Macaca mulatta: one gene and its partners. The protein of the gene in region 5 purifies or fractionates together with the protein of the main gene of each other region. This does not show direct contact. Links are inferred from orthologs where the notes say so. Each region holds a gene or a part of one and is shown on either strand. Other genes may lie near its edges. The genes, in order: SNTB2, UTRN, DTNA, CTNNAL1 and ADRA1D.

The links.
Region 1: the proteins of ADRA1D (region 5) and SNTB2 purify together in Homo sapiens (tandem affinity purification; 4 studies listed by BioGRID and IntAct, with this or other methods). This does not show direct contact. The link is inferred for Macaca mulatta from reciprocal best matches to the Homo sapiens genes ADRA1D and SNTB2.
Region 2: the proteins of ADRA1D (region 5) and UTRN purify together in Homo sapiens (tandem affinity purification; 4 studies listed by BioGRID and IntAct, with this or other methods). This does not show direct contact. The link is inferred for Macaca mulatta from reciprocal best matches to the Homo sapiens genes ADRA1D and UTRN.
Region 3: the proteins of ADRA1D (region 5) and DTNA purify together in Homo sapiens (tandem affinity purification; 4 studies listed by BioGRID and IntAct, with this or other methods). This does not show direct contact. The link is inferred for Macaca mulatta from reciprocal best matches to the Homo sapiens genes ADRA1D and DTNA.
Region 4: the proteins of ADRA1D (region 5) and CTNNAL1 purify together in Homo sapiens (tandem affinity purification; 3 studies listed by IntAct, with this or other methods). This does not show direct contact. The link is inferred for Macaca mulatta from reciprocal best matches to the Homo sapiens genes ADRA1D and CTNNAL1.

Annotation. Positions count from the first base shown.
Region 1 is NC_133425.1:64,863,392-64,868,923, forward strand, and holds part of SNTB2 (beta-2-syntrophin), read left to right. Parts: intron 1-1,427; coding exon 1,428-1,641; intron 1,642-5,532. UniProt on the Homo sapiens protein: Adapter protein that binds to and probably organizes the subcellular localization of a variety of membrane proteins. May link various receptors to the actin cytoskeleton and the dystrophin glycoprotein complex.
Region 2 is NC_133409.1:49,741,085-49,746,616, forward strand, and holds part of UTRN (utrophin), read left to right. Parts: intron 1-911; coding exon 912-1,046; intron 1,047-3,088; coding exon 3,089-3,238; intron 3,239-4,209; coding exon 4,210-4,371; intron 4,372-5,532.
Region 3 is NC_133423.1:57,981,753-57,987,936, forward strand, and holds the start of DTNA (dystrobrevin alpha), read right to left. Parts: upstream 4,180-6,184; 5' UTR 3,866-4,179; intron 1-3,865. UniProt on the Homo sapiens protein: May be involved in the formation and stability of synapses as well as being involved in the clustering of nicotinic acetylcholine receptors.
Region 4 is NC_133420.1:49,463,236-49,468,767, reverse strand, and holds the end of CTNNAL1 (alpha-catulin), read right to left. Parts: intron 2,703-5,532; coding exon 2,646-2,702; intron 2,502-2,645; coding exon 2,388-2,501; intron 1,723-2,387; coding exon 1,639-1,722; intron 1,503-1,638; coding exon 1,437-1,502; 3' UTR 1,249-1,436; downstream 1-1,248. UniProt on the Homo sapiens protein: May modulate the Rho pathway signaling by providing a scaffold for the Lbc Rho guanine nucleotide exchange factor (ARHGEF1).
Region 5 is NC_133415.1:79,801,569-79,807,673, forward strand, and holds the start of ADRA1D (alpha-1D adrenergic receptor), read left to right. Parts: upstream 1-2,439; 5' UTR 2,440-2,843; coding exon 2,844-3,954; intron 3,955-6,105. UniProt on the Homo sapiens protein: This alpha-adrenergic receptor mediates its effect through the influx of extracellular calcium.

The DNA of each region.
Region 1 (5,532 bases), on a different chromosome or scaffold from region 5:
CTATGACCACATCATGCTGTAGAATTAGCTATCAACTATTAGGCCAATAAAAGACTATCATCAACCTTATTAAATAAAGAAAACCAAGGCACAGCACAGTAAGCATAATATACTACCATATGTATGATCAGATATACATGCACATGTATGTGTTTACTTTCATACATGCTTGGCATACCAGGCATCTCTTTGAATGGTTGCCTCCAGGAATGGAGACAGGGTAGCTAGAAATCTGGAGTTTTATTATAAAACCTTTTATACCTCTTGAGTTTTATTTTATGTGCATATTTTACTTATTCACAGGAGAAACTCTGTGTACCACTGTGCCCAGCCAGTTTGTCTAGTTTTTGAAACAAGAACACCATGCCTCAAGTGATAGTAATTGTAGTCATGACTGAAGTAAAAGAAGAGTTTCATGAGTTTTAAAATTGAACTTAAAAAAGCTTTCTATTTACTAAAAGCTTGATTTTCATTTGGGGCTACATTAATGGAAACAGAGTATTTTGAACAAGCAAGCGGGATCAGTTGAGTTGGCTTTGTGCTTATTAGATCATACCTTATCTTGAATATGCTTTATTTTTGCACTTTTAAGAACTGTAATGATTTTAAGAACTGTAATGACCTGTTTACATAGCTGTCTCCCCTGCAAGGCTGGGCATTCCTTGAGGGATAGAATCCATGGCTCATTTGCCCTCGTGTCCTTACTAGCTAGCCTAATTCCCAACACTTGATAGGTAGCTAATAAAAGTTGATTGAATTGAATGGAAATAGAAATACTTGGCTTAATATGGGGAGGAGAGAGAAGAGAAAAATCTGTCTTCAGATAATTATAGAGTTCTCATGTAAAAGAGAGATTAAGTTTGTTTTATATGACTTGAGAAGACAGGGAACCAATGGGTAGAAGTATGGAGAAGTTTCTAAAGGTTGAGTCATCTAAAGCCTAGATGGGTCTGACTTTGAATCTATCTCCAGCGGATTCATGGCTCTTTAACTTACTTTTTTTCCCCCACTTTTTCTTTGTTTGTTTGTTTGTTTTTGAGGCAGAGTCTTGCTCTGTCGCCCAGACTGGAGTACAATGGCACAATCTCGGCTCACTGCAACCACTGCCTCCTGGGTTCAGGCGATTCTTCTGCCTCAGCTTCCTGAGTAGTTGGGACTACAGGCGTGTGCCACCACGCCCACCTAATTTTTTGTATTTTTGGTAGAGATGGGGTTTCACCATGTTGACCAGGCTGGCCTCGAACTCCTGACCTCAAGTGATCCACCTGTCTTGGCCTCCCAAAGTGCTGGGATTACAGGTGTGAGCTACCGCGCCCAGCCATTTCCCCCACTTTGTTATAGATATAGCATGTATGTGAATACTTTAGTTATCATTTATTATAGGAAGCAAAATTACTAACCACCTTCTTTGATTTTTTTGTTCATAGTCAAGTTCATCCGAGAAGTAACACCATATATCAAGAAGCCATCATTAGTATCAGATCTGCCGTGGGAAGGTGCAGCCCCCCAGTCACCAAGCTTTAGTGGCAGTGAGGACTCTGGTTCGCCAAAACACCAGAACAGCACCAAAGACAGGAAGATCATCCCTCTCAAAATGTGCTTTGCTGCTAGAAACCTAAGCATGCCGGATCTGGAAAACAGGTGAGGTGTACCTAACAAGATCATCATACCTACAGCTTTACAAACTTAAGGACATGTTGCAGTATTATATGACTCTGTTAACTTAATTATACAGAGGAAAACATCAGTCTAAGGTGAGAGATGCATTTTTGGGGTTCCACATTTTAAGTTATTCTACATATATACATGTATATGTGTAGAAAAAATTTTGGACAGGCACACAAGAAACAGTTAATGGCTTTACCCCTAAGGTGTCAAATAAGATTAAGGGAGAGAAAGAAAGAGGGGGCATCTTCTCTTCCTTTTATATCTTTCCATAATGTTGTTATTACTTTTTTCACTATGAATATGTATTACTTTATAATTGAAAGAATTCTTGTTAAAGAGAAATTTTTAAGTATCTCCTTAGATGGAAATTCCTTAGACTGTAGGTAGTATAGAGTTAGAGATCTGCATTATGGTTTTGGCTGAATCAACCAGCAGTGTGACTCTGGCAAGTTAGCTCCCCTTGACCTCAGTTTCCTCATTTGCAAAATGAGAAAATTAGATTGGATGATTTCTGATGTCCCTCCTAGTTCTATAATCATATGTGTTCTGTAACTTTGTCTTCATTAACTCCATGAAGTGGCACTGGTAGACCGAATGTTAAGTTAGAGATTAGGGGAAAAAATAAGATGAAAATAACTTGCCCAAAGACATAGTTAAGGACAGACTTTTTATAATGTGTTTTCACTATTATGGTCTCCTCTGATCTTAATGCACAGCCAGGTGCCTGATCAGGATGGAATGGAGCACAGAAGACACCAAGAAACTGAATTGCCTCCTTGGGTTTTTAAGGCCTCCTTGGGTATTTAAGGCTTCAAAGCTTCTGCTCTGTAGTATTTTACAAGGTTTGCTGGAATGAACTGAGCTCTGCAGTCGGATAGATCTTGGTGTGAATCCCAACTAGGTCACCTGCTCAAAGTAAGGTTCTGAGCAAGTCCCTTCACTTCTATACAACACCATATCATCATCTGTAAAAAAAGGGATAATGATACTTAGTGTGCTGATTATATGAGATGGTACCTGTAAAGGCCCTTACACAGAGCCAAGCACATACAGTAGGTTCTCAAGAAATAGTATTTTTAAAAAGTCTTAACTCTGCTGAGCACAATGGCTCACACCTGTAATCCCAGCACTTTGGGAGGCCAGGGTTAGAGAATTGCTTAAAGCTAGAATTTAAGACCAGTTTGGGCAACATAGTGAATCGCTGCCTTTACGGCATTTAAAAAAAAAATTAGCCAGACTTACTGGCGTGCACCTGTAGTCCTAGCTACTTGGGAGGCTAGGGTGGGAGGATCACTTGAACCCAAGAGTTCAAGGCTGCAGTGAGCTAGGATTTTGCCACTGCACTGTAGCCTGGGTGACAGAACAATATCCTGTCTCTTAAGAAAAGTCTTTTTTTTATTTTTATTTTTTTTTGAGACGGAGTCTCGCTGTGTCGCCCAGGATGGAGTGCAGTGGCGCGATCTCAGCTCACTGCAAGCTCCGCCTCCTGGGTTTACGCCATTCTCCTGCCTCAGCCTCCTGGGACTACAGGCGCCCGCCACCTCGCCCGGCTAGTTTTTTGTATTTTTTAGTAGAGACGGGGTTTCACCGTGTTAGCCAGGATGGTCTCGATCTTCTGACCTCGTGATCCGCCCGCCTCAGCCTCCCAAAGTGCTGGGATTACAGGCTTGAGCCACCGCGCCCGGCCAAGAAAAGTCTTAACTGACTACTATGTAAACACGTTTTGAAAATTATATTCTGATATATTTAAATTTTTGGCTTTGTTTTAAAAGTTCAAGACATTGTAGAAATTACTTTGTGCTACGTATAGGTTTATTCCTGGAAGGTTGTATGTATGTTGAATCATCTAAGTGCAACACAGCTTGATCTTTAAAGAAATTTTGTATTCTTTTCATAAAGTAATAATTTAATTTGGGCTGGGATAGGTGGCTCACGCCTGGAATCCCAGCACTTTGGGAGGCTGAGGCAGGTGGATCACTTGAGGTCAGGAGTTTAAGACCAGCCTGGCAAACATGGTGAAACCCTGTCTCCACTAAAAATACAAAACTTAGCCAGGTGTGGTGGCAGGCACCTGTAATCCCAGCTACTTGGAAGGCTGAGGCAGAAGAATTGCTTGAACCTGGGAGGCAGAAGTTGCAGTGAGCCGAGATTGCACCACTGCACTCCAGCCTGGGTGGCAGAGCAAGACTCTGTCTCAAGAACAAATAAATAAATAAATAAATAAAATAAATGAGATACATTTGAGCCAGACATGGTGGCGGCTCACACTTATCTCAGTACTTTGGGAGGCTGAGGCAGGAGAATTGCTTGAGGCCAGGAGTTTAAGACTAGCTTGGGCAATATAACAAGACCCTATCTCTACCAAAAAAAAAAAGAGAGAGAGAGAGAAAAGAGATACATTTATATAGAGCAGTTGGTCTGTTAATTATGGGCTTTTTTTTTTTTTAAGTTAGGGACCATAGAGAATTAAATAGAATAGAGAAACAATGTGATAAAGAAAAACAAATTACAACTACATTTGTCAACTAGCTGTCAGGCTGAGAAAAGTACAGAGTCAATTTTGTTATAAATCATTTCTTTTTTTTTTTTTTTTTTGAGACAGGCTTCACTCCCATCGCCCAGGCTAGAGTACAATGGCATGGTCTCAGCTCACTGCAACCTCTGCTTCCTGGGCTCAAGTAATTCCCCTGCCTCAGCCTCCCAAGTAGCTGGGACTACAGGTACATGCCACTATGCCCAGCTAATATTTGTATTTTTTGTAGAGAAAGGGTTTTGCTACATTGCCCAGAGTGGTCCCCAACTCCTAGATTCCAGCAATCCACTCACTTTGGTTTTCCAAAGTGCTGGGATTACAGGCATGAGCCACCACGCCCGGCAATAAATTATTTCTGAGAATAGGTACCTATAGTGCTGCTGATGTAGCTGGGTATTGAAGAAAAAGGCAAAATGTTATAAAATTTCTATAGAAACCCAGGGTTGTGGGAGTGGGCAAAGAAAGAAGGAAGAAGATGATATGACTTGGCTGTATTGCTAAATGTTGTGCTACTTCATCATTCACTAAGGATTGAAGTCCAGTAACCTTGGTCTTTGTTAAAACTTGGGGGCTGAATTCTCTGACATATTTATACGCTAAAGACATTTGGTGATGGTCACATGTGAAGTAGGTCTTCAGAACCAAATGGAGAGGGCAGTTTGGGGCTACCAGAGTTGTGCTATTATACCTTCCTTTTCAATAAATGATCAGTCTACTTGACCATGGCATACTATATAAGGAAAGGTCTTAGAAGATCCACGCTAGTTTTGAGATTCTCAGTCTTAATGCTTCAAAGCAACTTGTTCTAATTTTACTTAAGATATCAAAATTTGGCCGGGTGCAGTGGCTCCCACCTGTAATCCCAGCACTTTGAGAGGCCAAGGCAGGTGGATCACTTGACATCAGGAGTTTGAGACCGGCCTGGCCAACACAGTGAAACACCGTTTCTACTAAAAATACAAAAATTAGCCAGGTGTGGTGGTGCACGCCTGTAATCCCAGCTATTTGGGAGGCTGAGATAGGAGAATTGCTTGAACTCGGGAGGCAGAGGTTGCAGTGAGCCAAGATTATGGCACTGTGCAAGACTGTGTCTCAAAAAAAATTTTTTAAAAATAAAAAAATTTGCACATTATTTGCTTTTTGTAAAATATAAATTGGAAGAGATTCAAAGTTATTCCTATGATGATACCACTTATACTTGCATTTCCATGTGCTTTTTAGACATAAGAGCATTAGGATTACAAGGAGTTTGCAAAAAATATGCATAATTTCGGCTATACTTATGGGAATATGAACATCTGTGTGTCTTGGCAGAAAAAATGTACAGAACC
Region 2 (5,532 bases), on a different chromosome or scaffold from region 5:
CACAACCCCTGGGTCCCTGCTCTGGAAACCTTAGAGGGGAATGAGTGATCAAAACCAATATAGTAAGAACAGTATAACTCCAGTTTTGGTAAAATGTGGCTTTCTTCTTATATTGATATGGCCTCATGAACTTAGAAAAAAGTTGGGAAGGCTACATTGCAAACTTTTTCAGTTAGCTCTGAGTTGGAATTGGGTGGGGCCCAGGAGATTTCAATTTTCTATGAGATAATTTTTTTAAAATTTACAATTGTGAGTAATATTTTTCTTTTGTTCAAAAAACAATTTTTTTTTTTTTTTTTTTTTTGAGACAGAGTTTCACTCTTGTTGCCCAGGCTGGAGGGCAGTGGTGTGGCCTGGGCTCACTGTAACCTCCACCTCCCAGGTTCAAGCGATTCTCCTGCCTCAGCCTCCTGAGTAGCTGGGATTACAGGTGCCTGCCACCACACCCGGCTAATTTTTGTATTTTTAGTAGAGATGGGGTTTCACCATGTTGGCCAGGCTAGTCTTGAACTCCTGACCTCAGGTGATCCACCTGCCTTGGCCTCCCAAAATGCTGGGATTACAGGTGTGAACTTCGCCTTTAAAAAACAAACTAAATAATGTTTCTCTCTTGTTTTTCCTACTAACTATATAGTTGTATTTTTGACATTTAAATCAGATCATGGAATTTATTTTAAAGAGTGAGGCAGCCTCTTGCCCACTCTTTGCTCCACACCCCTCACCAATTGGTCTAATATGATTTTTTTTGGATTATTTTATTTTATTTTTGAAGTTTCAACTCCATCAGTTTTTGAATTCCTAGATATACTCACATTCAGATGAAATTATTAGTGATTAAAGAGAATGTGTAGCACTAGATACACGATATATGAAATGGCTTTTTGTCTAATTTAAACTTTTTCATGCTTTAGGAGGTCTGGTCTTGTTGGATTGAACTGCTTCACTATTTGGATCTTGAAACCACCTGGTTAAACACTTTGGAAGAGCGGATGAAGAGCACAGAGGTCCTGCCTGAGAAGACGGATGCTGTCAACGAAGCCCTGGAGGTTGGAACCCACAGTCTCCATGGCATTTCTCTTTGTTGTGATGAGGCCACACGTGTTTACAATGAGGAATGTAATGCTTTACGCAGGCAAATGCATTTGCTTCCTCAGTCATTTTCAATGTCACTTGCATTTTCTTTCGTAGCCTGAAGTGTTTATACAATCATATGTATTTAGATTATTGGTGACCCACTATATCAGCCTCAAGATGTGGTTAGCTGTTTCACAATTTGTAAATTTTAGACATGTTGAAGCACTCTAGTGGTTTTCCAGTTTATTTTACTAGGCCCTGGACAAAGCTCTGCCATATGTTATTAGGACAACTGCTCTCTTGTTTTGTCAACAAGTTATTTTTACTCACTAAACACAGCACTGACGGTTTACAGGGGCTTCCTGTCTCTTACCTTCAGATGTTAGAAGTTAAAAGACAGTGGTTGAGGCATGGGATCTTGTCGTAGGAGCTTATCTTCAAGCCTGGACTTTGAACTCATTGAGGACAGGAAATGTACCCGATACCTTGTTATTCTTCTGTTCCCACCACAGTGTGTAGCACATGCTAATTTAATAACCATTTCTTAAATGAAATACAATACAAAGGGGGTGGGTCTGCTTAACAAAAAATAAAAGGGGAAGGGGTAGATATGCTTTTAAAAATGTCTTGGTACCATGTGGGAACTGAGTGGACAAATGGATTGAAGGTCAGAAATGAGTAAAATGTGGCACTTACATTCCAGGAGATGGATGCTCTGCTAGAGAAAAGATGTCACTTCTCAAATATAGCAGAGTGAGAGACAGAGTGAATGAAAAATATGAAAAGCTTAATTTTTTTTCCTAATGTAAGAGTGAATACATGTACATGCTAGAAATATGGAAAATAAAGAAAAGTGTAAAGCAAAACTCTAAGATAAACATTTTAAAATGGTTTGTAGATTTCTTCCTAACTACTGTCTTTTATATATGCATACTAGATGGTAGTATATTGGATCAAAGGCTTTGGGATCTTTTATTTACTTATTTATTTTTTATTTGAGACAGAATCTCCCTATGTTGACCAGGCTAGAGTGCAATTGTGTGATTTCGGCTCACTGCAACCTCCGCCTCCTGAGTTCAAGCAATTCTCGTGCCTCAGCCTCCCGAGTAGCTGGGATCACAGGCGTGTGCCACCACCCCAGCTAATTTTGTATTTTTAGTAGAGATGGGGTTTTACCATGTTGGCCAAGCTGTTCTCAAACTCCTGACCTCAAGTGATCCACCCTCCTCGGCCTCCCAAAGTGCTAGGATTAGAGGTGTGAGCCATCGCGCTTGGCCAGGCTTTGGGGTCTTAAAGGCTTTAGAGCCATGTTGGTATCTTTCCTCTTCTTTTGACTGCATGTATGTAGGCAAGTTATTTAACCTTTCTGAGCTTCAGTTTTCCCATCTGTAAACTGGGAATGCTATTTAGCCCATATGGTTAATTAGATTTATGTATATAAAAAGTGTTTATATAAAACAATGCCTCTTATTCTGCGTATATTGTAGAAAAATGAGTACTTATTTTTAGTAACGTAATTAATAAAAGTTGAGCTAATTTTGTTTGCATAGTACTGTCTCCACCTTTAAACTTTGTTTCAGATTGTAAACATTTCCTCGTATAATTAATAATTATTTTTAACTTTTTATTATTCACTTATTTATTGTTTAGAGACGTGGTCTCGCTCTGTTGCCGAGGCTGGATTCCAGTGGTATGATAGCTCACTGCAACCTTGAACTCCTGGGCTCAAGTGATCCTCCTGTCTTACCCTCCCATAATTAATAATAGTTGAAATTATTTTTGTGAAATTATATTATTATATATCACGTGTGCTAATTGCTCATTTTTATGCATTTTTTAATACTGGGATGGGTATTTTTTGTGAATTAGTAATTTTCTTAATTTTTGGTTCTGTTCCTTAGGTAGATTTTTAGAAAATAGAATTACTTGTTTAACAAATAGACATTTTGAGGATCCTTGATACCTTTTGCCTTAGTAAATGCATTATTATTTTTTTTCCCCATCTCCATTCCAGTCTCTGGAATCTGTTCTGCGCCACCCGGCAGATAATCGCACTCAGATTCGAGAACTTGGCCAGACTCTGATCGATGGGGGGATCCTGGATGATATAATCAGTGAGAAACTGGAGGCTTTCAACAGCCGATATGAAGATCTAAGTCACCTGGTGAGAGTTGGGATGTGCATGGGTGTTGATTAGGTATTGATGAAGTGGAGCTGGCCCTAAGCTCTATATCACAGAGCTTTAATGTTGGGAAAATCTTTAATGTTGGTTAAAGTTGGTAACCAGTGCTCACAGGGGCATTGAGGGTATTGAAGTACTCACTAGGGAAGAATAGATCTAACACTCTAAGGCAGAATTTGATGATTAAAAAAATTATTTTTGAGATGATTTCCTACTTGAAAAATATTTAATTTTCATTAAGGATCATATGATAGCTGTATCTAAGAACAACAACTCATACTATCCTAGTAAATATTAGTGCCATGATATTTGACATAAGCTGCAAAGCCATAGTCTCTTAGTTCATATCTAGGTTGTAACATACATATTTGTATCACGAATTAGAGAAAGAGCACTTCTTTTATAGGAAGGTTGGGTATGAATATTAGGTACTTCCAAACACATTAAATAATAACTGTTGATGTTCAGCCCATGAATAACATCAAGCTTAAACCAAAAGTGCAGTAAATAGTAGTTTGATATGTATATACACCTATAGAATTTGTTTTAGGCTTTGGAAAAAAAGAGACTCTGATGTTTATGTATTAATAGACATTTTTCTTATGTTTTATATTCTTATTGGCAGACATTGGCTGATTCCTAAAAATGCTTTAAAATTATAATAAATAGCAAATTTTTATCTTCTGTTTAATGCATCTTTTGGGAAACCTTTACATTTTTGTATTTCGACATTGTATATAGAAAGAAGTAATAATTAGTAATTCAGCTGCATGGTACATAAGATCCTAGTGGGACATTTTCACTGTTATCATTAGTAATTATTATTTATTTATAAAGAAGGCTAAAGTCTTGGAGGAAAGCTTTTCTAGTCTTTTCTTAATGGCCAGAATATATATATTCTGCTATTTATATTTGTGTTGGGCAACTAATGATTCAATTTCTCCTCTGTGCAGGCAGAGAGCAAGCAGATTTCTTTGGAAAAGCAACTCCAGGTCCTGCGGGAAACTGACCAGATGCTTCAAGTCTTGCAAGAGAGCTTGGGGGAGCTGGACAAACAGCTCACCACGTACCTGACTGACAGGGTAGATGCTTTCCAAGTTCCACAGGAAGCTCAGGTATTGCCATGTATTTGAGGGCTTCTGAGCTGTAAAGAGAGCTTATGTAGTTGCCTCCTCAACCATAAGAAAACCCCTCCTGCCATCCAAAACCGAGAGTCAATGGGAAAGATTGACTTACTTACAGGGCAGCATTTGGGTTTTGGAGTTCTCTTGCTTTCTGTGTGAGACTCTGGCAAAAGTCCTATATATTAAATTAAATTAAATGTATTTATTTATTTATTTGAGACAGAGTCTCACTATGTCACCCAGGCTGGAGTGCAGTGGCACGATCTTGGCTCCCTGCAACCTCTGCCTCCTGGGTTCAAGTGATTCTCCTGCCTCAGCCTCCCAAATAACTGGGACTACAAGTGTGTGCCACCAGGCCTGGCTAATTTTTTGTATTTTTAGTAGAGATGGGGTTTCGCCATATTGGCCAGGCTGGTCTTGAACTCCTGACCTCAAGTGATGTGCCTGCCTTGGCCTCCCAATAATTTTTGTATTTTTAGTAGAGACAGGGTTTTGCCATATTGGCCGGGCTAGTCTCAAACTCCTGACCTCAGGTGATCCGCCTTCCTCGGCCTCCCAAAATACTGGGATTATAGGTGTGAGCCACTGTGCCTGGCTGAAAAGTCCTGTATATTTTAAATTGTAGTTTTCTTAGCTGTGAAGTTGGGACAATTCCTTCCTTATAAATAAGTTGTGAACATTAGAAACGACAAATGCAAAGACCTTAGCATGGGCGTCACGTACAATATTCATACCATGCAGTGGGCCATATTATTATTATGCAAAAACTTATTATTATTATTATTTAGACGGATTCTCACTCTGTCACCCAGGCTGGAGTGCAGTGGCATGATCTCAGCTCACCGCAAACTCTGCCCCACGGGTTCAAGTGATTCTCCTGCCTCAGCCTCCTGAGGAGCTGGGATTACAGGCGCCTGCCACTGCACTTGGCTAATTTTTATATTTTTAGTAGAGATGGGGTTTCACCATCTTGGCCAGGCTGGTCTTGAACTCCTGACCTCGTGATCCACCCACCTTGGCCTCCCAAAGTGCTGGGATTACAGGCGTGAGCCACCGCTCCCGGACTACAAAAACTTATTAAAGCTTCTGTGGAGGTCAACATTATGTAAAATACAATATCATGTATAATACAACGATATAGAACTTTTGTAT
Region 3 (6,184 bases), on a different chromosome or scaffold from region 5:
TTGATTTTAACAACCTTAATAGTTTCAAATGGTGCTTAATTTACCATTTTTGAATTAAAAATACATAATATAATGAAACATTTCTCATAATCTATTAGTCATCTGTTTTTGTCTAGCATTTATACATCTTCATGTTTTGTATATTTTTCACCTATAAAATATGGGGCAAAAATATTCATATAAAGGAAGTTCTATTTTTCCACTGCTTTTTTTAAAAAAAACAATCAAAATATCAGATTAGGTAGTGTTATGATTTTCAACAGCAATGGAAATTTAATTCAGCAGTAAGATTCTGAGCCAGGTATTATATATCAATATTTAATAGTATGAAATACAGAATCAGAATGCTTTGTTTTAAAGACCATCTCAAACTATGTGACAGTGGTCAGGGTTACTCTCCTCCTTGTGCTTCAGTTTTCCCTTCTATAAAATTGAGATAATGATATGCAAGCCTCATATGGCTTTTGTAAAGAATATATCACATAATTTATATAGAGACCACAGAATGACGCTCAGTACATAGTAAGTGTTCAATAAATTTAGTCACTCCTATGTTTGCTTGAACTCATTAATATGAATTTCTCCAGCATCTTCAGCACTCAATATCATCTCCATCACTATGGAGCCTCCTCTCTTCTTTTGGGTAGTTGAGAGAATGTCAGTGACTGTGTGATAAACCAATTAAAGTTCTATTTTGAGACATCCTGGCACTTTAACAAAAACAACAACAACAAACCTCCCAAACTACACAGAACTACTTCTTTTAGTTTGAAAGTAGTTGCCAAGGAAAAGAAAGAAAATGACTATATTACATTAAACCTAAATCACTCTTTGCAAATAGGTGAGTAACCACATAAAGCTAGCACATGCCCCGTGTGCTTTGAAAAAAGTACTGATAGTTTTGTAAACCCTCCCCCCATGTCCACGGATGGATAATGAGGTGAAACAGTATGTCTCCTGGTGAATACAGAAGTAAAGAGACAACTAGAGTGACACATATCTCTGATTCAGAACATAATTCAGAAAATTAACATGCAAGCATTTAGTAAAAGATTACTGGAATTAGTACACACCTTCTCACGTGTCATTCCCACACAAATATGTGACTTTTCAGGCACCTTGTCCTGACCTCCATGTCTAGTCCAGAATCCTTTAATAGATATTCTCATAGAACTCCTTCTTTCATTCAGGAAACCTACCTCAACTTACAAGTAATAATTTATTGGTATAATTATTTTATTAAAGCTTGTCCCCCTGTGCAGTCAGGGCTCACAGATCTTTCTGCTCACTATTGAACCCCACTCTTGCACCTCACACCTGGAGAAAAGAGGCTCTGTAGAAGCAGAGACAGTACAGTTCTTTCAAACTAGAGGTGTGGGACTTGAAAGGAAAAGGTCATGTCAAAACTACCAAGTGAGATAAAAGTAGCAAGCTGTCTCTAAAATAAGTAACAGAAGCTAGAAAACTGGAACGCTGAGTTAAGAAAGGATATATGTATGTATCACAGAATTTGTCTTGATAACAATCAACACTATATATAAATGGACTTGGAAAAATCAATTCAATTTCAATATCAAAAATACTTGTGACTGATGGCATACAAGCACTCTGACCACAGGACTGCACTGTAGCATCCCAAAATAAAGATGTAGCCATATTTCTGGGGTGTGTGTGTGTGTGTGTGTGTGTGTGTGTGTGTGTGTTTCGGGGAGGGGATGGTTAACCACTGAAGAGCTGAATATTTTTTCTCGTATCCACAGATCATGTTTCCATGCCGTTTAGTTGGATTCTAGTCTCTTTTTACTTATAATGTTGAGTAAGTGTGAGTTTGAAATTATATATATTGAATTTAATTAAAGTGAAAGATGAGAATTAAAGGAAATCTATGAATGTCAAAATAATTTTGAAACTCGTTATGTGAAGAAGCAATTAAAGTTTACTTGAAAAAAAATAACAGATGAAGACTTAAGAGACATCTGCCCAATAAAATGAATATTGTGAAAGCTCTATGATAAGCTCAAATGAAGAGTAATTCTCTAAATATGTGAGAGTAATTCTCCATGTAAGTTGGAGCTCACCCCATTGAGACCTTTCTTCACATCATGGTTCATTTAAAACAAGTGGAGATTTTAAAAGTATTTCAACTTAGAACTAATGAGAAAATCTGATTTCAGTCTTCACTGCTACACAATTCAGTATAAAGTACATACAATTGGCTAAATGACATGACAAACTCGAATGCCCTTAAAATACAGCTTGCTTCTAATCACTGATAGTCCAAAGAGAATTGCATAATTCTTTTAAAACTGCCCAACTCTCGCCAGAGTGAGTGGATTAAATACAACTAAACTTGCTCAAAAATCTGCAAGATGGTGGTGTTCTGAAGAAAACGATGGCCATGATCTGAACAAAGAACCGACTAATAACCTAGGAAATTTAAAATTAATTGCAAACACATAGCTTTAGCCATCTGCTTTACAATAATTTACCTTGTTGATACATCTTACCTGCTGAAAATCTCAACTTTGTTGTGAAATGCAACTTTAGTCACTGTAGGACATGCAACTTTAATTATTGTAGGACACTTGGTTAATTGTGGTGAAAGGAAACTACTCAAACATTATTTGCCATAATTTTAGTATTGAAAGTTAGAATAAGAAGAAAAAGTGGAAAAAGAGTTAATTATTCTGAACATGCAGCACATACCTATTAAGGCTCATCTTCATAGAAAGATGTGGTCAATATAGAAGACTTTAGGTATAATGAGTTGATTAGGGGCGCATGAAAAGTCCAACTAGACTCTAACACTTAATAAATGTATGACCTTGGGTAAGTTATTTTGCCTCTCTGTGCCTGGATTTTCTCACCTGCAAAAGTTGTTTATTAATATTATCTACCCCCCTGGTGGTCTAAGAATTAAGACGGTGAATCAATCTAAACCATATAGAACCGTGGAACATGTGGAACACTTTTTTCCTAAAGTTTCCACCTTTGGAATAAGCAAAAGAAAAAAAACCATTATTTTTTTAAAGAAATCAGTAACTGTACACTTCAACAGTACAAGTATCTCTTAGATTAGAAAGGAAACACAAGCACATTAAATGCCAAGTGATGACATATAACAGGAAAACATAAGCATCAACTTAAAAGACAATTTTTAGAGTAAGAACCTAAAGCATGGTAAGCTTCACTGCAAGGTACATCCAATATCTGCGCCTCCCTCTGCCCCCTCCCTGCCAAGTTCTACAGTTATCTTCCCAAAGTCATACCCTAAGCCTGCCAAAGAGCAAAGTTTTACCATCAAGTCCCAGGAGTGGTACCACTGATTCCCAGCCCCGGGGTCGCCACCCCCTTCTCTCTTTGGCTTTGGTCTTTTGACAGACACCTCTCTCCACCTCCCACTCCGGATAACAGAAGGAACCTCCCGCCTGCCCTCTGTCCAGCAGAAAACTTCGAAGTGGGCAACAGGCTATAAACGCCGAAGACACTCACCCCCGTCCCCACCCGTCCCCGCCGCCCCCCGTCCCCAGGGCCCAGAGCCCACTCCCACTCTGGCATCGGCCCGGGCACCGCAGTGCATTGCAACACGAGAGGACGCCGCTGGCTGCAAAGGAAACCATCGCGGATGTCCCGGTCAATACCCCTCAGACTGTTCCCCGACGTGAGTATCATCCCTAATGGAGGTAGACACGCCACCTCCCACCAGCTCAGCACGCGAGGATGACCAAGAGGGCAGCGACCACAACAAAAACAACTCAACCCGCGACGCGAGGGAGCCAGCTGCCATCGCCACCCCCCGAGCGGCGCCGCGGCAGCAGCGGGGGCTGCGGCGCTGCGGGGGCCTTCGAGGGCGGCGGAGATTTACCTGCGCGGCCCCGCGCCCCCAGGCCGGACATCCTGCAGCAGCCGCTACCGCCGCCCCGCGGGCCCGAGGCGCCGCCCGCCGCCCGGGGAGGCGCCGCGCCGCAGTCCTGGCTGCGGCGCCCGGCACATGCTTCGCGCTAGCCGCGGCCGGCGCCGGCGCACAGGTGGGAACCCCGCGAGTGGGCGTTGAGGCGAATCCCTGCCCCCGCCGGCGCTCTCCGCCCGCTTCCACTCTTGACTTTGGTCGGTGTGCGGCGCCTGCCCTTGCTCCAGCGCCGAGCCGCCTTTGCCCGCGCCCCGGCGCCGTGGGCGGCTGCGGTCCCTGCGCATTCGGGGCTGCGCGTCATGTGCACCTCCCGCCCCGCGGCGGGCCCCGCTGCACCGGGCGGCCGTGGGCAGCGCGGCAGCCCGGCCTCGCGCCCACTCCTCGCCCGGCACACGGACCTCCTCCACCCCCGCGCCCTCCCCCACTCTGGAGCTGTCAAGGAAGAAAACGCCTTGCACACACCTTGGAATGGACGGGCGCTTCAGTCACCGACTCACCAAACTCTTAGAAGGCGTCCATTGGTCTGCAGGGAGGTTTGAGCCTGGAGTAGGAGCCGCTTTCTTATTATTTAATAATGTTGGAAGTGCCGGGTCCGCTGCCAGAGTTGTGGGTCATGTGGGCACAGCAGAGGCTGGCTGCTGCCAGTACCAGGGTTTCCTGAGGATCCTGAAACTATGATCTCATCCTCCTCATCCGCCTCCCCCGCCCCTCTCTCCGCGGGCGCGCACGCACAGCACACACACACACACACACACTCTCACACTGAATGCACTATCCTCCTTCCTGGACCGAAATATTCCTCTAGGGAAATAGTGGGCACGCTCATCATTGAAAAAAAAAAAAAAAAAGAAAAAGAAAAAAAAGAAATCCTTCCAGATAGAGATTTTTCTCTTCCAAAGCTTGATTTATGTGCTTTATTTCCTCCAGTTTTCCCTCACACGTGCAGGAGATGGGAACAGAGACTCAGAATTAAAATTAAAAATAATTATTATCTTATGTTGACCCAGATTTTGGTCAGAACCCAAGAACTTAAACAGTACAATTTCAATTTAAAACAGAGGCAAAATATACCAGGCTTGAATATGGAATATTCTTAGATGTATGCAGTGGGTTTCTTTCCCAAGCTGCAAACATTCCCCAAACATTACCTCATTTATTTGCAGAGCATCTTTGCAGAGGAGGTAGATGAAAAGGCAAATAGTATTGTCACTTCAGAGACACAGAAGCATAAGTAAGATAACATGACCTACCCAAGTACACATAATAAGTCAATATCTCACTATAAATATTAATTGCACAGCTACTCACAGGTTGCTTTTTCACTGTAATCAATTCTCAGATACTTAGGTTACTGAAAATAATGAAAACATTGTTGATTATTTTTAAGTTACCGAGACTGAAAATTATTTTTTCTTACTATATGTATGTTTTCATATAATTTTCTCTAGTATTGTATTTCCAATTTCACGTTTTCATATAATTTTATTTCTTTTTGGGGGAATGTGTTGTGTGTATGCATGTGTATGCGTACATTTATATCCAGTTGCATTGTTTAAATGCTTAGATAGTAATTTCTAGCAAATTGAGCCAATGTTTCTGAAGTAGTCACCAATTTCATAATTTGTATATGTCATTGAAACCCTTTTCACCTGGTGTATATGAAGAGCTATGCTACATTTTGAAGGACATAAAGAAGTTTAATACAAGTACTTTTTAGTTTACATCTAGTTGTTGAGACAAGATACATATACTGAATGACTGCAGATAAAAATCTTTGTTATTTTGGTGTTGTGAATTATCACAAAGAAAGCACAAGATACTTTTATTTTCTTTTTACTTAATTTCTCTTCCATGTTAAAATCATCTCATTTGCCTATGTGCCCTATATTTCAGTCTTGTCATTAACCCTCCTACCTTCTAAATGGCCAACGTAATTATGTGTAACCTTGCCCTTCTCTTACACTTTCACCATACTCACATAAACAGTAAATGGGGAATGATTTATATTGTAAAAGTTCTCAGAAAGAACACTCTTGGGTAGCTTCTTTTCAGTGTAGATAAGAAATTCGAGCAGCTAACTAGCCTTCTAATAACCCAAAAAGAAAACAAATAGTATGAAAGAGAGAATGGTCAGAGAAAAGGCAGAAGAGAAAGGAGTCAAGAGGGGGGAAAAGGAGGGGGAATGAAGTTACAAGATAAGAAAGTAAAGAAGAGAAGGAAACAAAAGGAGAAGAAAAAGAGGATCAACTTTCATGTGAAAGCTAAAATTTTCCA
Region 4 (5,532 bases), on a different chromosome or scaffold from region 5:
CAGCAGATCCTCACTTTAAGTAGCACAATGACTCTTGAAGGCTTCATAAACAAAGACTAAACATATTAAAAGAATTGTGTATAGCATTTTACATATAACATTACCTCACATCATTCTCCCATTATTTCTATTGTAATTTAAAATAATACTTTGGTTTCAGAGAATAAAAATCATGCTTAATGATTTTGACTGTTTAAGGAACAATTTTACAAAGGTTATTAACAGAGCTGAATGCATCACATTTTCTCCCGAAGGACTACAGTGAAAATTTTCCTCAATAAAATATTGACTAGCTGTGGTCAGTTGACAGTACTGTGGTTCTTCCAGATCTTTTGTGAATACTGATTGTGGTGGCTTACCCAGATAAAGATCATCAGATGAGCTTATATTATCTACTGCCATTTGATAACTGGCATGCCCTGTTAGATTTCAAAATGAATGTCAAAGCATTAAGATACAAATACTATGACTGGAGCCCACCACAAAGTTGGCCATACTATATTATAAGGAGAAAACCTGTAAAACAGATCCTTCAATCATGACCCCACCCACAAAAACAAGAAAAGCTTTAAACTCCTAAATTTAAAAAACTAAACAATGATGTTTTTGTTTTATAGTGAACATTTCAAAGCCATATATATATATATATATATATATATATATGATGATATTCAGAATTTAGATAGCTTCTTGGCTTCCTTATTCTGTCTTTATCTTCCATTCCATCAATCAATACTGAGAAAGTTCAAAATATCTTTTAAGCCTAAAAGATAGGCTTAGAATCCCAGCTAATAATTCAGTCAGCTACGCTAGAACTAGAACCAAGGATTCTGTGGAGTTCCATTACCTTGCTTTTAGGAGTAGGAGAGGGACATACATAGCACAGCAGACCCACCCTTGCTGTATAAAATGCTTATTAGGGGACAAACTTGCTGCTCGCATGGATGATCTGGGACAGGGTCATCAAGGGGATTTTTGTCACACTTGGTAAAGAGAGGGATTGAAGAAGAGTCCACAGGTTTAAGGAAAACCCTGCGTTCACCCAGACTACTGTATGTTTGCTGCTGAAATTAGTGATCTAGATGATAAAGAAAGAAAACAGTTAAGGTAAAATATGCCAAAGGCGAACACATATTCAAAATAGCTTCTTTGGATTAAATTATCCTTTGGACAGTTGGGATATTTGGTTTGACTTTTAAAGAACACTAGTGCAATGTTCCATTTTTAAATCACACTACAATTAGAATCTAGCAATTGCCATGACATTTATTAGTTGTCAAAAAGCTTTACAGTTTCATGATCAGAAAATAGAGCAAAATTTCAATATTGTTTTCTTTATAAAATTGATGAATATCCAAAAACATAAAGGATCATTTGCTTTTTTAAAATGTCAGCTTCATCACATGATGTTCCCGAGATCTGATCCCATAAGCCTCTCAAATTTTACCATCCATACTGTCCTTATTTGTAACTGAGATCCATCCGTTATTTTCCATCTGAAGCTGGAAAGAGTTAAGACAATTAGTATCTGTTTCACTCTGAAAAAAAATTACAAAATTAAGTAGTAACTATTTTCTTTTGCATTTTCCTTTTAACCAATTTTTAAAGTATGAGTCTAAAATAGAAAAGCTATCTCACCTTCTTCAGCAGTTTATAACAAAGTGAAAGAAGTTGGACTAAGAGAGCCATCATGGATCTTGTCTTTGTAATACACTTATCAACCTACAGTGACAAAAAGCATGCAAATGATATTCTAAAAGTAGTATTTAAAAGACCTTACCATTTATTTAGTTTTAACATGATAAAATTTTCTCCATATGGAAATCTAAGGGATTGTGAAAGATACATGGATTTAGGCACATGAGCTGACTTAAAGCCCCAGGACACAGGTGCAGGGGTCACTGCCTACATCTCATGTCTATCTCATGGAACCTCAGCAGAAAGAGTGGGTGGAAAATTCATCATTCTAATGCAGGCTGTTTAGGGGCTTCCCAAAACACTCCAAATAGTGGAATTAAATCTCATCCTTTGCAATTCCTTGCACTCTGCATTGTGGGCACAAACCCATATTCTCTCAGACAAATTATGGGAGACCAGACTCGGAGGCACCTGTGTCCTAGTTACAGAGGAAATGACTTCAGAATTGAAGGGTAGCTGCTCAGTGCTATGGAATTAATGATGTCCCAAAAACTACTTTCTTTGGTGAATCTGCTACTCTCTGGGGTCAGTTATAAGGGTAGATAATAAATGATTCTTGTAGACAAGGCATGAAAAAAAGGAAATAAAATTGCCCTTCTGTGGGTATTAACACTTTATTTGAAGAAAAAGGGGCTTTCCCTAACCAGATAAAGATAGATATGTGAACGTTTTTCAAATGTCTCTTTTACCTTTAGAAATACTTTATTCTGCAAAGAAGTCTTAGTTACTGTCTGGAGCTGGTGGCATAGAGGAATTAGCTTGTTTATTTCCAGGAGAAGCATAAGCTTGTCATCGTCTTTCAGCTGAAATATAATTTAGCAAGTTATAACAGCCCGCAACAAAACTCCATCTTTAATACCTTAAATACCTTTATACCTTGATATTATACCCCCAAAGTGGGTATATATAATACCACCACCAGCACCAGGCAGGTAGACATGTGTTACCTGTTTTGAAAAAGCTTGTACACTGGAAGTAAGTTTTAAACCCTCTGCAGCAAAAACCTGATAGAAAGAGAAAACACCACTATTTTAGACTGATGTCTATGGATAGTTGGTAAGAAATACACTTACTAATGTTTTTTACATAGAATTTAAAAAATAAAGCCTAGACATAAAAAGTCTGTCATGGAACTCCTAAACTTTTTCCTGTACCAGGAATGCACAAGTGTTTACCTGTTTTCTGAAGGAGTTTTCACAGACCAGATGCAGAATCCATCCCTGGAGAGGCTTCTCTACACCAGACCTCCAATTATTCTGGAGGGTCACGCAGTTGTGTGATATTCAGCCACACAAATTATGTCTAGATTACTCAAGGGACCTAGAGCTCATCTCAAATATGCTCAATTATAAAAGGATGATGAATTTTCAAGCATGAGGTCAAAAGGGTTAGGACCTTCCCACTTCCATCTAGGCAAGGCAAAATTTGTCACCCATCCATAACCAGACATTTGAGAGAACCAATCCAGGTGGTTGGGTTTTGTTCCGGTTTTTTTTTTTTTTTTTTTTTTTTTTCAGATTAATTTTCACTATTCACCATGTACCATAAATTCTATAATTTAGTGAGATGAACAGGATGATGGAGAAGAACCATGAAAAATAAGGTTGGGCAGGTATGATAGAAGTATTTAGGATATTATGTTAAGATGGTTTGCAGAGTATTTCGGAGTGAGATGCCAGGGGAGTAAAGGGAGGAAGGCTTAGTTTTAGGTGGCAGCAGTAATAATGGAGAGAACAGGGAAAATCTGAGAGTGATTTGTGAATGAAAGTAATAGGTCTTCGAAATAAATTAAAGAATACTAAGAAGGAGGAGGCAATAATTCCAGAGTTAGTTTTTACCCTCTATTCAAAAGGCTTAACACCTTGCTATCATTGGATAAAGTGATCTCAAGGTCAAATCGTACTTTGCAACCTTCCCTTTAAAAGGGAAACCAGTAAACTTTACATCTAAATTCCAACCAAATGAAATGATTCACTTCCCCAAGTGTTCCTTATCACTTCATGTTACCACTTTCTATTCTGCACACTTTCTCTTTCCCTCTGGACTGCAAACCCCTTGGGGACAAAATCCATATCTGTCTCATAGAGTATGATGGTTTTAAAACTACCTGAAAGCTGATAACTCCCAAGTCTGTCTGCACTCCTGAACTATCCTGACATCTGTCTTGTACAGCCATCCCTCAGTATCCACGGGAGATGGGTTCCCAGACCTCTCCAAGGATACTAAAATCTGTAGATGCTTCAGTCCCTTAAATAAAACAGTGTAGTATTTGCATATAACCTACACGCATCATCCCATATACTTCAAATCATCTCATCTCTAAATTATAATTATAGTTCATGTAAATACTAAGTAAATCGTAGTTATACTGTATTGTTTTTCCCCCCTTGGAACTCTAACTTGTTAAAATGTATTTTTTTTTTTAACTGTAGTTATGTTTTATTGGTTTTCTTCTTTTTTTTTTTTTTTTTTTTTTTTGAGACAGGGGTCTCACTCTGTTGCCCAGAGTGAAGTGAAGTGGTGGGATCACAGCTCACTAAAGCCTCGACCTCCCAGGCTCAAGCAATCCTCTTGCCTCAGCCTCCTGAGTAGCTAGGACTACAGATGTGTGCCACCATGCCCCGCTAGTTTTTATAAATTATTTTTTGTAGAGACAAGGTCTCACTATGTTGCCCAGGCTGGTCTCAAACTCCTGGACTCAAGTGATCCTCCCAGCTTGGTCTCCCAAAGTGCTAGGGTTATAGGAGTGAGCCATTGTGCCCAGCCTGTTTTTACTGTTTTGGATATTTTCAATCCATAGTTGGTTGAATCTGCAGATGCAAAACCTGCAGATAAGGAAGGCCAAGTGTATTTCCTATCTGACCTGTACTTAACATGTGCAAAACAAAATGCTTGATTTCCACCCTCTAAATCTAGTGTTCCCCCTCAGTGTTCCCTGTCTCAGAAAATGGCACTACCACTTACTCTGTTGGCCAAGCCAAAAACCTTACTTAAAACATAATAGGATTGGCTGGGCGTGGTGGCTCAGGCCTGTAATCCCAGCACTTTGGGAGGCTGAGGTGGGTGAATCACAAGGTCAAGAGATGGAGACCATCCCGGCCAACATGGTGAAGCCCCGTCTCTACTGAAATACAAAAATTAGCTGGTTGTGGTAGCGCACACCTGTAGTCCCAGCTACTCGGGAGGCTGAGGCAGAAAAATCACTTGAACCCAGGAGGCAGAGGTTGCAGTGAGCCAAGATCGTGCCACTGCACTCCAGCCTGACAACAGAGTGAGACTCCGTCTCAAAAAAAAAAAAAAAAAAAAAAAAATTTTAAGTTCTCCCCATGGCCTACAGAGACATCATATTTTACCACTTTCCTTCTGGCTCACTTCACTCCCATCTATAATTGCCTCCTTACTCTTGTGATACACCCAGCCCTACCCTGCACCTCAGGGCTTTGCACTTGTTTTGGCTATCTAAAATCCTCTACCCTCATTTATCCATTCAACTCTCTCACTTCATTACTGTCTCTACTCAAACATTAGCTCCTTAGAGAGGTCTTTTCTGACCACCCCTCTACCACCTCTGTATTCTAGTCCTACATGATTTTATCTCCATGTACTTACATATGTGCACTGAATGCTTAAATTTTTATTGTCTGTATTCTGCCACTAGAACATAAGCTCTATGGGGGCAGGAGCTTTGCCTTGTTCACTTTTCTCCACAGAGTTCTTTTCTCCCAGATCTGACATATAGCACAAGTTCCATAATTATTTGTTGAATGAAGTATGTGATTTTATGTTCATCACAGTTTGGAGACAATTCAATGGACACTGGTTTAATGACTAAGC
Region 5 (6,105 bases):
AAACATAATCAACACCACTCTAGGACTGGCTAAATTTGGGGTGGACAGTAAAACAGAAGGAGTTTAGGTTTCCAACTGCAGCAATTGCATAGATGCTGATTCCATTTTCATAAGTGAATACAGTAAGTTGAAGATTTTAGTGTCAGAGATGGTGAGTTTAACTTAGGAACATGCTTAATTCGAGGTGCTCATGAGGCATCCAAGCAAAGATCTGGGTGTGAATGGTGTGCTTGGGATGATATTGAGCTTTATCCCAGCCCTCCACTGCTAAGATCTCCTTTCAGAGAGAGACAGCTCTTTCTCTTGTTGCCCCTGCCACCAGCACGTTGTGCCGGCCCCTTCCCGGATTTCAGCGTCTGATAAGCAGGTACAGGAAACTCACAACGATCTCACAACCACTGTCCTTCCATATTCATTTCCCAAGAGCTCCAGAACGTCTGGAATCATCTTGCAGAACTTCTGAGGACCACCAAGACCTGAAATGGGGAAAGACTTCCCCATCTTCTTCCAGGCATTCTATCCCACAACTCTTCCTACCCTGCTGGCAGGAACACCTCCAACCAGCCTTCTGCTGGCTCCCCACACCAGAATCAGGCACACATCTCTATGTGACACCAGTCAAGTAGTCCCCAGCACCCCAGCCCCAGCTCTAGGTTTAACTATGTCTCCTCTTCCCAGTCTTTGAAAACTGGCCAATCCCAGAATCGAATGGATTCCACCAGGGTTGCACCTATTCCACACTATGTGACAGCAGCCACCCATGGACACTGACCTGCCATCTAACTCTCCCCAGAGAGGAGCTCCTGGCCTCCTCTTTCAGTTCCCACTGTCCCTTCCCTCTCAGAGAGGAAGCCCAAACCCAAGATTTTACTTTTGGTCAGCTGCTGGCTAATCCCTAGAAGTCACGTTGCTTTCATTTCAACTCACTATAGTAAGTTTCCAAAAACCAAAATAAAAGATTTAATGGGGAAGGCCATGGAAGAGCTGTTTCCAAGATATGATTATAAAAGCTTTATCTTCCTGGACTGGGCAATGGAGAGGAGGGAGGTCACCCATCTCTCAACATTTCTCCAGTTTTTTACTTTTTCTCCAAAGCAGCTTCTCATCTAAAACTCAGACATCCTGCCCCTGTGTTAACCACAACCAGTGGACACTAGGGCTATGGGTTCTCTGTCCCCTCCCAGACACTTCTGCAAACAGGCCCTCATCTCCCTGGTAGGGCTCAAGCCCTCCTCATTCTGCAACTATGAGATGGCATTACCCTCCTTACAGTTAGTGTATCCAGCATGGTGCCTGCCATGTGCCAGCAGCTGGTATTTTTATGTTGGCTAACTGTATGATTTCTTTGAGCCTCTCCCTACCCAGTCCTGCTGCTGCTCAAGAAGCTTCTCATACCCTCTCCCACACCTGCATCCGGAGTCCATACCAGCCCCACACCTCCTCTGCCTTCCATCCTCCCTGTTAAAAGCCTGCCCTGAACAAGCCCTACTCCGCTGACATACCCAAGCACTTCTCTGGGGCCCTCACCCATATTTACTCAGTTAACCCTCAGGCCAGGAGGTAGACATCACTTCTTATTCTCATTTTACAGATGAGGAACTGTGGCACAAAGAGGTCTCACAGTTAATATGGGGCGGAGCCTGGATTCAGATGCGGAGCCAGACTGTCTCACACCCGCCCCATTTAACCATCCTGCCAAGTGCCCTTTCCCACCCTCCGGCACTTACACCCTCCCTCTTAACAAGGCCAGAACAAGAACAAGGCCCCTTATTTAGGGTAGGTAGCTACAGAAAGATTTATTCCCGCATCTGATACAGAGAAAAGTAACAGTGTATGTAGACCAGCGTGTCTTGGGCAGGGTCCGAGGGCTGTAGCCACAGCATCCTGCTCCTGAGCCCATCGTACCCAGCCTCAGCCCAGAACAGGTTTCCAACCCTTCCTGGGCGCTCTTCACGACATCGCACTGGGCAGAGGTGTCTGAAACCCTGCCCTGGCCAGTGGCCTGAGAAAAAGGAGGTGCGGCAGATCCATATGGGCAGTCCCAGGAGGCAACCCGCAGCGGCACTGCGCCGTCCGGTCCGCAGTCCCCAGATCCCAGGCGCTTGCTGCTCTCTGGCGGCCAAAGCCGGTATCCCGAAGACCCGGGACTCGCGCCTTCAACGCACCGCGCGCCCAAGGGCACCAGCGAGTGACCGAGAGACTCGGGGGAGAGGGCGGGAGAAACAGGGACGCCGCTGAGGACCAAGGGGGAGGGGGTCCGGGAGAGGAGCGGGAAGGAAAGCAAAGGGCACCGCGAGGGGAGAGGGCGGGCTTGGGCACTTGCGGACAGGCGTGGGTGGCTGCTGCGGGACCCGAGCACGCGCCAGCGCCGCAGCCCCCCTAGACCCCGACACACTCGCTTGTCCTGAGCGAAGGGTCCCTTCTCCCCTGGGGTGTGGCGCCCCTCTCTCGGCCCGGGTCGCCCCCTCCTCCTTCCTGGCGCTGCCCCTCCTCGGTCCCGCCCCCCGCGCCGAGTTGGGAGCGCCGCAGTGGCCGCTGCCTGCACCGCCCGGCCCCGGAGCCGCCGCTTTGCCCGCTTGCTGGGCACGATCAGAGCGCCGCGCGCGTCGCCAGCCCCGGCTCTTCGGTGCTAGTCCACTGCCGGCCTCGGGGAGCCCGGCCGCCGCCCGGGCCAGGCAGCTCCGCTCTCGGACAGCCGCGCTCCGCGTCACAGGAACTTAGGCAGGACCCCAACAAGACCGTGCGGAGCTGCATCTGGAGCCCCGCGGCTATGCCCTGTGCTTCCCTCCCTGCCGGCCGCTCGTTCTGCGTCCCGGCCCGGCCACCGACGGCCGCGCGTTGAGATGACTTTCCGCGATCTCCTGAGCGTCAGTTTCGAGGGACCCCGCCCGGACAGCAGCGCAGGGGGCTCCAGCGCGGGCGGCGGCGGGGGCAGCGCGGGCGGCGCGGCCCCCTCGGAGGGCCCGGCGGTGGGCGGCGTGCCGGGGGGCGCGGGCGGCGGTGGCGGCGTGGTTGGCGCAGGCAGCGGCGAGGACAACCGGAGCTCCGCGGGGGAGCCGGGGAGCGCTGGCCCGGGCAGCGACGTGAATGGCACGGCGGCCGTCGGGGGACTGGTGGTGAGCGCGCAGGGCGTGGGTGTGGGCGTCTTCCTGGCAGCCTTCATCCTTATGGCCGTGGCAGGTAACTTGCTTGTCATCCTCTCAGTGGCCTGCAACCGACACCTGCAGACTGTCACCAACTATTTCATCGTGAACCTGGCCGTGGCCGACCTGCTGCTGAGTGCCACGGTACTGCCCTTCTCGGCCACCATGGAGGTTCTGGGCTTCTGGGCCTTTGGCCGGGCCTTCTGCGACGTGTGGGCCGCCGTGGACGTGCTGTGCTGCACGGCCTCCATCCTCAGCCTCTGCACCATCTCCGTGGACCGGTACGTGGGCGTGCGCCACTCACTCAAGTACCCAGCCATCATGACCGAGCGCAAGGCGGCCGCCATCCTGGCACTGCTTTGGGTCGTAGCCCTGGTGGTGTCCGTAGGGCCCTTGCTGGGCTGGAAGGAGCCCGTGCCCCCTGACGAGCGCTTTTGCGGTATCACCGAGGAGGCGGGCTACGCTGTCTTCTCCTCTGTGTGCTCCTTCTACCTGCCCATGGCGGTCATCGTGGTCATGTATTGCCGCGTGTACGTGGTCGCGCGCAGCACCACGCGCAGCCTCGAGGCGGGCGTCAAGCGCGAGCGAGGCAAGGCCTCCGAGGTGGTGCTGCGCATCCACTGTCGTGGCGCGGCCACGGGCGCCGACGGGGCGCACGGCCTGCGCAGCGCCAAGGGCCACACCTTCCGCAGCTCGCTCTCCGTGCGCCTGCTCAAGTTCTCCCGTGAGAAGAAAGCGGCCAAGACGCTGGCCATCGTCGTGGGCGTCTTCGTGCTCTGCTGGTTCCCTTTCTTCTTTGTCCTGCCGCTCGGTGAGTGACCCCTCTCCCACCGGCCCCTCCTGTTCTCCCTGAGCCTATGGCGGTGTCCTCGTGGCACCCAGACTTGGGCGACCCCCACCTGAACCTGGAAAGTTGGCTTAGCAAGTCCTGAGTCTCCTAAGAGGCAGGTGTGCATGCACCATTTTGTGGAGTGCCAAAGAGAGGGTCTTCATCCTCGCCAGGTTTGTTTCACAGGCTTCTAACTTTTCTGTCCTTCCCTTCTTCTCTTCCAAGCCTTGGGCTTATGCTGCTGGCCCCTCTAAAAATAAAACGTCTGTGAAAATCTGGGCAGGCATCTGCCCATATGTGGTCGGCAGTGTGTGTGTCCCCCTACAGATCCCCCTCCCTGGAGGTGGGTGCACAGAGTGGGTGGGCCTCCATGTGTTCATTCACGGGCAGCGAGCCCTGGCCAGTCAACAGGTACGTTAGCAGATGCCAGAAGCCACCCGCTTTTCCCCAGCACTCATTCAGTTTGGAAGCTGGCCCCATTTTGAGACCCTCCCCAGCTGTGTTTTTGAGTGCCCTGGGCTCTCATTTCTGAAATCCCCTCTTGGAAAGGAAGGAGGTTGTGTAGCGATGAGAAGCACAGGGATAGGGATAAATTATCAAACGGAAAGTTCATATTGTTAATCGTTATTTCTTGAGCTTACTGAGTCCTTGAGCTCTTCCGGGGAACTTTCCTGCTTCTTTCACAAGCTGCCCTGCAGTCCTGGGAGGTGGGCAGCTGTTTTCAGAGGCCGCCTTCTACCCCTTGAGGCCTCTCTTGGAAGCCCCGGGTCTGGGACTGGAGGCTGGACCAGTGCAAGGAGTAGAGGGGGAAGAGCATCTCTGGGGACAAATTTGCCGGGAGTCAGATCCACCCATGGCTGCAACCTCCGCAGGCCCAAGCTGGGCCTTCTCTGCCTTTCCCAGGCCTGGACCCTTCCACACTGCCAGGCTGAGTCAGGAAAGAGACAATGGCCTCCTTCCTGTGCCCCCGAAAGCCCTTTCCACACTGCAGCCACAGTGAACTTTATATATTATAAATTAGATGTGTCACTCTCCTATTAAAAGCCCTCAGTGCTTTCCCACTGTCCTGAGAACAAAATCCAAACTCTCTATCATCACCTATGAGAGGGTGACCTTCAAATGCATTGTTGTCCAAACCAAAATAGGACACTATGAATATTTACACCGGGACCACAGGCTAGAACTGGAGCCATGCAGACATGTGGTCCCCCTTCCTACAATGGAGATCTCAAATGAGAGCTGTCTCCCTCTCTGCCCTCTCCCCCTCTGCCCTCACGGCCTTGCCGCTTCCCTCTGCTCTGGGTTCCTCCCCTCTGACCCTTCCCGGGTTTCTTGCCGGAGCCCATGCCTGTCCTCAGGCCTTTGCACTTGCTGTTCTCTCTGTCTTCACTGCCCTTCCCAATCCCTCCTGGCCAACTCTATCCTTTAGGTCTTAAATGTTCCCTCTTCAGAGGGACCTTCTTGGACCCTTGACCCTCAGTCGTGTCCTTGTTTTCTCCCTTGAAGCACAAGGTTCTCTTCCTTCACTAGATCATCGGTCGTAATTACATCTGTGTGCTGCTTGGTGTGTTTCTGGAACTGGCCCAGAAGCTGTGTGAGGGCAGGGCGGTGTCACCTGGGTCATCACTGAGTCCACGGCACTCAGCACGGTGCCTGGTATGTGGGGAGCAATAGAGAGCACTGCAGTGGGGACTACAGGCTCTGGCGCCAATCCCAGCTCTGCCTCTCTCCTGCTAGCTGTGTAACCATGGGCAAATCCCTTAACCCCTCTCTGCTTGCTTTTTTATCTATAAAATAGAGAAGAGGTGATGGTAATAATGCCTATCTATAGGGCCATCGTGGAAATGTAGCTTTTGTAGTGGATACTCAATACGGGGTAAGAAATGAATAAGTAACCCTTGAAAATCAGCCAGCCAAAGGTTGTTGCAGGGATGGGGCAAGCAGCTGAACCTAAGCAACACACTAGGAGAAGGAGGTAAGTAAGCAGGGAGGAAAAAGTTGGTGCCCACCCCTTTAGACACCCAAGCCCATCCCCCAGGCCCATCGCCCCAACCCCTGCTCCAGCCTTGCCCAGCTGTGCTGGGCTCCTGGGTACCCTCATTCAACCCCTGCCCCTTGGTTCACACTGGGCCC